Sus scrofa: one gene and its partner. The protein of the gene in region 2 interacts with the protein of the main gene of each other region in a pairwise test. Links are inferred from orthologs where the notes say so. Each region holds a gene or a part of one and is shown on either strand. Other genes may lie near its edges.

The links.
Region 1: the proteins of AGR2 (region 2) and FABP2 interact in binary tests that used the Homo sapiens proteins (3 or more experiments, as listed by UniProt). The two-hybrid records come from large-scale screens. The link is inferred for Sus scrofa from reciprocal best matches to the Homo sapiens genes AGR2 and FABP2.

What each region holds. Positions count from the first base shown.
Region 1 is NC_010450.4:104,462,944-104,467,256, reverse strand, and holds the start of FABP2 (fatty acid-binding protein, intestinal), read right to left. Parts: upstream 2,916-4,313; 5' UTR 2,879-2,915; coding exon 2,812-2,878; intron 1,323-2,811; coding exon 1,150-1,322; intron 1-1,149. UniProt on the Homo sapiens protein: FABPs are thought to play a role in the intracellular transport of long-chain fatty acids and their acyl-CoA esters. FABP2 is probably involved in triglyceride-rich lipoprotein synthesis.
Region 2 is NC_010451.4:86,050,831-86,055,115, forward strand, and holds the start of AGR2 (anterior gradient protein 2 homolog precursor), read right to left. Parts: upstream 3,003-4,285; 5' UTR 2,965-3,002; intron 102-2,964; 5' UTR 95-101; coding exon 1-94. UniProt on the Homo sapiens protein: Required for MUC2 post-transcriptional synthesis and secretion. May play a role in the production of mucus by intestinal cells. Proto-oncogene that may play a role in cell migration, cell differentiation and cell growth. Promotes cell adhesion.

The DNA of each region.
Region 1 (4,313 bases), on a different chromosome or scaffold from region 2:
TACAGATTTATATCTTCAAAATTATGAAGTAAATATCTCCATTTCACAGATCAGAAAACTGAGATGCCATAATTTACCTCAAGCCACAAAGCCAGGGTTGAACCTAGGCTGTTGGGCTCTAGAGTTTGTGCTGGTAACCATCATGCTCATCCCACTCAATAGTTTGCAAATGCTGAATTTTAAGGCAGATCATCAGAGCTTCTAAATCTTTCACGTTGAGTAGTGTTCTAAATTTAATGATGGTTCATATTAGTTTCATGGAAAAGCTAAAAGAGCTTGTGCTTGTTTTAATTCATGTACGTGTCGTAGTAATTAAAATATAAGCGTGGGAGTCCCCTCTTTGGTGCAGTGAGTTAAGGATCTGCCATTGTCTCTACAGCAACATGGGTTCAAACCCTGGCCTGGCGCAGTAGGTTAAGGATCTGGCATTGCCACAGCTGAGGCATAGGTTACAGCTGTGGCGCAAAATCAGTCCCTGACCCAGAAACTTACATGTGCTGCGGGTACAGTCAAAAAATGAGAAAAGTAAACCAAAGTGAAGTAAAATAAAATACAACATAACTGATAAAATATTTGGCAATTAATTATCATTGCAAACATGTATAATTTAACTAGAAAAATTCTAAGGGCAAAATTTTTTAAAAAATCAGTTGAAAAATGTGACTCTGTAAAATTTCATATTTAAAATATTAAAGGGTGTATTCCCAGTGACTTACATTGTAGCAGTAGACCTTTCTGTTTGATCATTCATTCACTAATTTGTTCATTTATTTTGTTACTTCAGTTACATTAATTAAATGTCTCTTATGTTCAAGTCAGATTACTCTAAAAGCTTTTGTTGCTCTCAGGTATGTAACATTGAAAACACCAAGCTTTAGTTTTCTCTGTGAATAGGTATACACTCAGTCATTCAAAAGATATTTTTCTAATTCTTATTGTTTAATCCAGGTTCTTTGCAGAACTGTGTGAAAATCAAAACATTATGTTTAAACACTCTGCTAACTTGTATGATATGGATAAGCTCCATTGGCTGCTTCAGTAAATGAAGGAGAGCTACATTGATTAAACCATCCAATAACAGAAAGCAGAGGATGTTTTAGTGCTGTGTAGAAAAATCAGGACTACATTGCTTATATAAAAATTTCTTACAGTGAGTTCAGTTCCGTCTGCGAGGCTGTAGTTAAAAGTGACACCAAGCTCAAAAACAATTTCAATGTTTCGAAAAGTGCTTGATTCTTTGACTGTGAATTTATTTCCTTCTTGTGTAATTATCAGTTTCAAATTGTCATGAGCTGCAAGTTTCCTCTTTACCACGTTAATACCTGCAAAGGGAAAGAGTTTGGAAGAAATAAAGTCAGAATACTATAAAAAGTGCTTATCTTTCAAAGTTCTATTTTAATTAGTTAATTAAAATAATTAATATTTTGAGGGTGGAGAAGAAAACCTGATGTAGCATTGTCTGTGCATAAGAGCATTCAGATTGCTTCTGTAGAAGTTCAAGCTTGATCAGATCAAATGGTTTTTCTAAAACTTAAGAAAGATTAAATGATGCATAAAATTGTAGAATCTTAGAACTGAGCAGTTTTTTAAAAACTATCAAGATTTTTATTTCAGTGTTAAGTAAAACAAATCCCAGGAATGTCAAGTCAAGGATTTTCAAAGTATATTTACATATTTATAAGAGTACATTTAATTCCTCATGTATGGTTCTTTTCTTTTCTTTTTTTAAATTCTTCTTTGCTTTACATAATGGCTTTAAAATTTTGAACTTCATAATTCTCTTTGGTTTTTTGCGGCATTTCTGACAGTCACCAAAAAGAAAATTAGCAAATATTACAGTCAAATTCATTATTGTGAGAATGTACATATTCCATTAATTGAAACTTGAAATGCCTAAACTATAGGATATAATTGATGCAAATTTTTATTTTTAGGTAATAACTTTTTTTTTTTTTGCCCGTGGACTGCCAAAGTATTGATATAGATAGATAGTAAAATCCATTAAATCAAAACTTCATAGAAACCACATTGTATCATGAGATTATTCCAAAAGTTTACTAAGTCAGAGGAAAAGAGATTGGGTCATTTAAGTCATTAAGTCATAGAACTCTTTTTTGTTGCTTTATGATATGGTCTTTGCTTTTCCATCCCCTAGAATTCAGTGTTTTAAAGTATGGAAGTTATCATTACCTACTGCCATATTTTACTTTCTAAACAAACAAACAAAAAAACCTGTCAACTTTCAGGAGTTCCCGTCGTGGCGCAGTGGTTAACGAATCCGACTAGGAACCATGAGGTTGCGGGTTCAGTCCCTGCCCTTGCTCAGTGGGTTAACGATCCGGCGTTGCCGTGAGCTGTGGTGTAGGTTGCAGACGCGGCTCGGATCCCATGTTGCTGTGGCTCTGGCGTAGGCCGGTGGCTACAGCTCCGATTCAGCCCCTAGCCTGGGAACCTCCATATGCTGCGGGAGCGGCCCAAGAAATAGCAACAACAACAACAACAAAAAGACAAAAGACAAAAAAAAAAAAAAAAAAAAAAAAAAAAACCTGTCAACTTTCAATAATCAGTTAACATGAATGAAACTTACCTGGATGTTTTTTGTGTTTCAGAGAACAGCATGCAAGAGTCTTTTCTTCCACTAATGAGACAGTGTATTCTTTCTAATATAAGAAGTAAAAATACGGTTTCCCTACTCTGAACTGTACCGCCACAACAGGCACTATTCCCTAAGCTTTGAGGTTTAGAAGGTGTTAGAGAGAGAAATGTCTGTGAGAAACAAAAGGGCAAGCCATTAAAGTATTAAGCCCTTACCCATTTTTTCCATGAACTTGTCATAGTTCTCATTGCGGTCTATCTTCCAGGCACCATCAAATGCCATAGTCTCCAGCTGATTCAGCCTCTAGGCAATCAGAGATTCAGGTCTGTCCTTAGGAGAGAATTTATTCTATTTCTTATCTTAGAACCAAATTCATACCATGATGTGGAAGTTTAAAGTTCAAGAGATCACTTAACTACACTAATGCCAAACCATTCTAGTTTCTCTAGTTTCTATAAATTCCTTAGGTCTTCTCCTGAAATTCAGCTGCATTGAAGGATGATAAGCATACCTACTCTGTCTTAAACTACAATTTGTTGTCACATTTATTTTAAGACTTAGAATGCATACTGTCTAAATACAATTTTTCTGCTTACATGTTCAAAGTGCACACTGTGTTGAATGTGACATAATTTAGAACATATATCAGATAACATCCGGGAAATGAGACTATTAATGACCTATCCCTTTTTTTACAATAGCAATTTCCTTGTAAAGTAGGACTTTATGACCAAATACAGCTTAAAAGTTAAGGTTAATGTGATATTAAGGCGGCAAAGTTATGGGGGGTTTTGTGTGAGTGTGTGTGCGATTTTTTTTTTATATAATTTTTTTTTTCCCACTGTACAGCAAGGGAGTCAGGTTATCCTTACATGTATACATTACAATTACATTTTTCCCCCACCCTTTCTTCTGTTGCAACATGAGTATCTAGACAAAGTTCTCAATGCTATTCAGCAGGATCTCCTTGTATATCTGTTCTAAGTTGTGTCTGATAAGCCCAAGCTCCCGATCCCTCCCACTCCCTCCCCCTCCCATCAGGCAGCCACAAGTCTCTTCTCCAAGTCCATGATTTTCTTTTCTGAGGAGATGTTCATTTGTGCTGGATATTAGATTCCAGTTATAAGTGATATCATATGGTATTGGTCTTTGTCTTTCTGGCTCATTTCACTCAGTATGAGATTCTCTAGTTCCATCCATGTTGCTGTAAATGGCATTATGTCATTCTTTTTTATGGCTGAGTAGGATTCCATTGTGTATATATACCACCTCTTCCGAATCCAATCATCTGTTGATGGACATTTGGGTTGTTTCCACGTCCTGGCTCTTGTGAATAGTGCTGCAATGAACATACGGGTGCACGTGTCTCTTTTAAGTAGAGTTTTGTCTGGATAGATGCCCAAGTGTGGGATTGCGGGGTCATATGGAAGTTCTATGTATAGATTTCTAAGGTATCTCCAAACTGTTCTCCATAGTGGCTGTACCAGCTTACATTCCCACCAACAGTGCAGGAGGGTTCCCTTTTCTCCACAGCCCCTCCAGCACTTGTTATTTGTGGATTTATTAATGATGGCCATTCTGACTGGTGTGAGGTGATATCTCATGGTAGTTTTGATTTGCATATCTCTTATAATCAGCGATGTTGAGCATTTTTTCATGTGTTTGTTGGCCATCTGTATATCTTCCTTGGAGAAATGTCTATTCAGGTCTTTTGCCC
Region 2 (4,285 bases):
CCTTCTTAGCTCCTGGTTTGACTGTGGTGTCTTTGGCCAGAGTATAAGAGAGGGCCACAAGCAGCAAGAATGCTGATAAGGAAATCTTCTCCATGGCAAATCTGATATGAAAGACAAAAAAGCAAAAAGTCAGTAAAACTGAATTAGTAGTCTTCAAAATCTTCAGATTGCATCACAACCAGGGGATGTAATAGGTAGGAGGTGAGGCTTAGATGGGATTGAACACTTACAATTGAATGAAAAACTACCTTCCATAGACATTTCCTAAGATTATACAGTATGAATGCCTATCTATTTATCTGTCTGCCTCTATTTAGATGTAGATCCAGATAGATAAAATATACTGATGAAGATATCCATAGAAATCTACAATATAGGAGTTCCCCTCATGTCTCAGCAGTAAACGAACCTGACTAGTATCCATGAGGATATGGATTTGATCCCTGGCCTCACTCAGTGGGTTAAGGATTCTGAATTGCTGTGGCTGTGTCATAGGCTGACAGCTGTACCTACAATATGACCCCTAGCCTGGGAACTTTCATATGCTGCATGAGCAGCCCTAGAAAGCCAAAAAAAAAAAAAAAAAAAAAAAAAGTATAGAAATAGATTCAGATATATTTTAAGGAAATAAGATATATATATATTTTTATAGCTAAGGGGATTTGCTTTTAAATTTTATATTTAAAAAATTTTTGTGGTGGAATGGATCTTAGGGGTTGCCTCTCCTTTTCTCCCATCTCCCCAGTGCCTCATTTCATAGGTGAAGAATCTGAAATTCAGAGAAATTAAGACTAATGAGATGGGCATAGAAGCAAAGTTTTTGCACCTTATCACTTTGTGGTGCTGGCTCCCATCTTTTCATCCTGAAAAAAATTACCCTAGATGTACATTTTGTTAACATGAGGACATTGCCATTGAAAAATAAGGTCTGAGTAAAATGATTTTTTTCATTTGAAAACTGCCAACTTTCAGCTAGAGACTTGCAGTCACACAACGCTCTCCCTAGTGTAACATTTACTCAGACTCTATATATTGGTTCTGAATTGGTTAAAATACATCGGTGCAAATTTCTTCCAGTGAGCTGATTCTTTGACTCTCAGTGTGAGCCTGTATAATAGGCCCACAAAAATATATGGCCCACACAGAGAAACCAACCCCATGGATGCCTCTTTGTTAATTGTTTTTCCTTTCCAGTATTCCAAAGTTAATTCTCTCGAATGTTACACTACCGCAAAGCAGATTCTTATAAGCAGGAAAGTGGAGGGGAAGGTATGATCCATGAGTATGTGAGGGAGTGAGCTAGCCAGCAAAGTGACTTGCACTAGCAAATCACTAAGGTTATCCAGGGACCATAACATGTAAAGCTGGAGGCTTGGGATGCTAGCAAAGCCAAAGACTGAAACTGGTTAAAAAGAAACACCCCACTCTAATACTGGTGTTGGTTTGAAATAAATATATTTTGCAAAGGAATCAAGATGGACTACTATAAAATTCTTGGTCTTTTTGAGGTGTAAATTTTTTTTCTCATCTTCTGATGGCTTGAGTGGGAACTTTTGCTAAGCATTATCCAATATTAAAAAAAGGCATTGCCAAGTTACCAAATCTAGATGATGTCTTGTATTAAACTGACTGATTATTATCTATGTTGTACTATGTAGCCACACAATGTCTCACTCAAAAATGATATAAGCAAAAATAGAGATATACTTTCTTCATCTTCTATACACTTAAAGATGCAGACATGCCAATAACAATTTTCATATCCAGCATTTTGGATAAAAAACTTAAATGTGATATAAGTCAACAATGCTCAGCCTTCTTAGTACAAAGACTTCTTTTTAATATAAGCAACAACAATAACAAAACTCAAGAACCTTTATATGAGAATAATTACTTTTGGGATATTTGCTGAGTCAGAAAAATATCATGGCAAATAATGACTTTAAATTTATTAACAGATATTTGATTTTGTATTTGATTTATAGCAATGTATATTAGAAAAAATAACAGTGAGCAGTGATGTATTCATTTAGTCCATTGACAATTCTCATTGTGCAAGTGGCATTAGAAACCCTTGCTATAGCTCTGAAGCTGTCTGATTGGAACTATTGCTATCTGATGTGTATTTTACGCCAGGATGACTCAAAGAAGCTGAAATCACTCCTGTTGTATAAACATCCTGCTCTGAGCTGACTGAGATTCACTGTACCAGGTTTTCATTACATGAATAGATGCTGCTCTGCAAATTGCCTGCCTAAACCACCCCAAAACAGAAGACATGGTAAGACACTGATAATTTGGAGACACACACACACATACACACACACTGAAACCAGCACTTTTTACTGGTCCCTGTATCTTTGTCTTCTCGACTTTAGCAAGGAATGACTTGCAGGAGGTTCTGTGTTCCTGTTCATAAATGCTCCAGGAAAGCAACCAGATCTCTCCTTTTACAGCCTATCCCAAAATTTAAAGATTGAAGAAGCAACAAGGATATCTTTATATCAGGTAGAGAAAGGAAACTGCTGATTTGCAGTAATATTCTGAACTGCGGTTCCAAGCAACCAATCTGAGCTGAGGTTTTACAGTTCTGTGGGTCTTGGTTTTAGCCAGTGGGACCGAAGCAGAGCATTTGATGGTGATCAAGGCCCAGTGACCAAGACAGAAGACCCAGGGTTCTGTGCCAGGCTTGAAAACTCCCAGAGTTTGCTCACTTTAAAACCTCTGTTTCCTCAGGGAGAAACCATTACCCCTGAATCTGCTCAGAAACAGAGCTCTGCTAAAGAGAGGCCCCAGGAAACCTTTGTTGGAAATTCCATTATTTCCTCCCCAAATTCAATTTCACTGCCCTTGGGACTACCCTGCATTCCTCTGCCTGTTGATTGCCTGCAACTTTATACAGTAACCAGAAGCCAGCACTCACTCTAACAAGTGCCCTTCTAATACTGCTGTCAGGAGCCTTACCTGAGTTTCCCCACCCACCTGTCTGTGTGAGCCGGCAGCGATGCGGTCCAAGCTTCCTAGTGTGCTGGCTCAGCCCAAGCCTCTATTTATGCACCTGAGCGCACCTCAGTCCCACCCACTAATCCCGTATTCACAGGTTGCAAACCCCCAAAAGGAACTTTTCTTTTCCCAAGTCCCCCGTAGGCTAAAGAGTTCTTGTTTTTTAAAAATAACACTGCAAAGGGGTTGCCTTTCAGTATGCATGTTTTTAACTGTTTGTGAAAGTATATTGTTAAGAGATTTGGAAAAGATGGGCAGAATGCCAAATCCAGGTAAGCTTTAAGTGAAGACATTTGATTTGCCTGAAGGTTGATTTGTCTTTATGTGATTGGATGGAGTTTGTGGTTTGTAGAATTTTTTTTTCTCCCTCTTGGGCAGATAGCCTCTATTTAGTTGAAAATGCACAAGAGATGATTCACAGTTCTAACTCTTACCGTCATATGAGCTGCTGTCCTCCATTAGAGTATAAATTATTTTACACAATGTACTTCCTCTCCTTGGCAAACAAAATGTACACTCACTATACGTATGAAAAAATACAAACCAAGCCTTCACATAGTATTTTAAAACTAGGGCAGTTATTGAAAAAAAAATCCTAATACTATGAGTTTTTATTAATGACCTTGCAGCCATTTCCCTCCAAAGAATTCTAGGATATTTCATAGATCTTCTCTCATTTAATAGCATACTTTCCTGCCAAGCATGCAGGAAGCCATTTATACCATTTTCAGACCTAGAAACTAAGGTCTGCAACTACTTTTTCTCATTCAATATTATGTAATTATTCACTCAACATTTTAAAGCTGAACTCAAATTTTCTGTAAAAAATTTTAGTTGTGTGGTTCTCTTGTGGTGCAGTGGGTTTAGGATCCAGTGTTGTCACTGCAGCGGCTTGGGTCACTGCTGTGGCACAGGTCCTATCCCTGGCCCAGGAACTTTGACATGTCACAGGCACAGCCAAAAAGCTTTTTTTTTTTTTTTTAGTCTTTCTTGTGTTTTCTTCATGAAACTGTGTGTAACCTTTCAAAGTTCAGAATGGAGAAATCTTCAACAACAGAAAATTAATTAATGGGATGCAAGCCCTACAAAAATAACTTTTAAAAGAAATTAGGATTGTAATATTTCAAAACATTTTCAAGTCTGTAAACTTTTTTTTTTTTTTTTTTTTGTCTTTTTAGGGCCGTACCTATGGCATATGGAGTTTCCCAGGCTAGGGGTCGAATCATAGCTGTAGTCGCCGGTCTACGCCACAGCCACAGCAACACCAGATCTGAGTCATGTC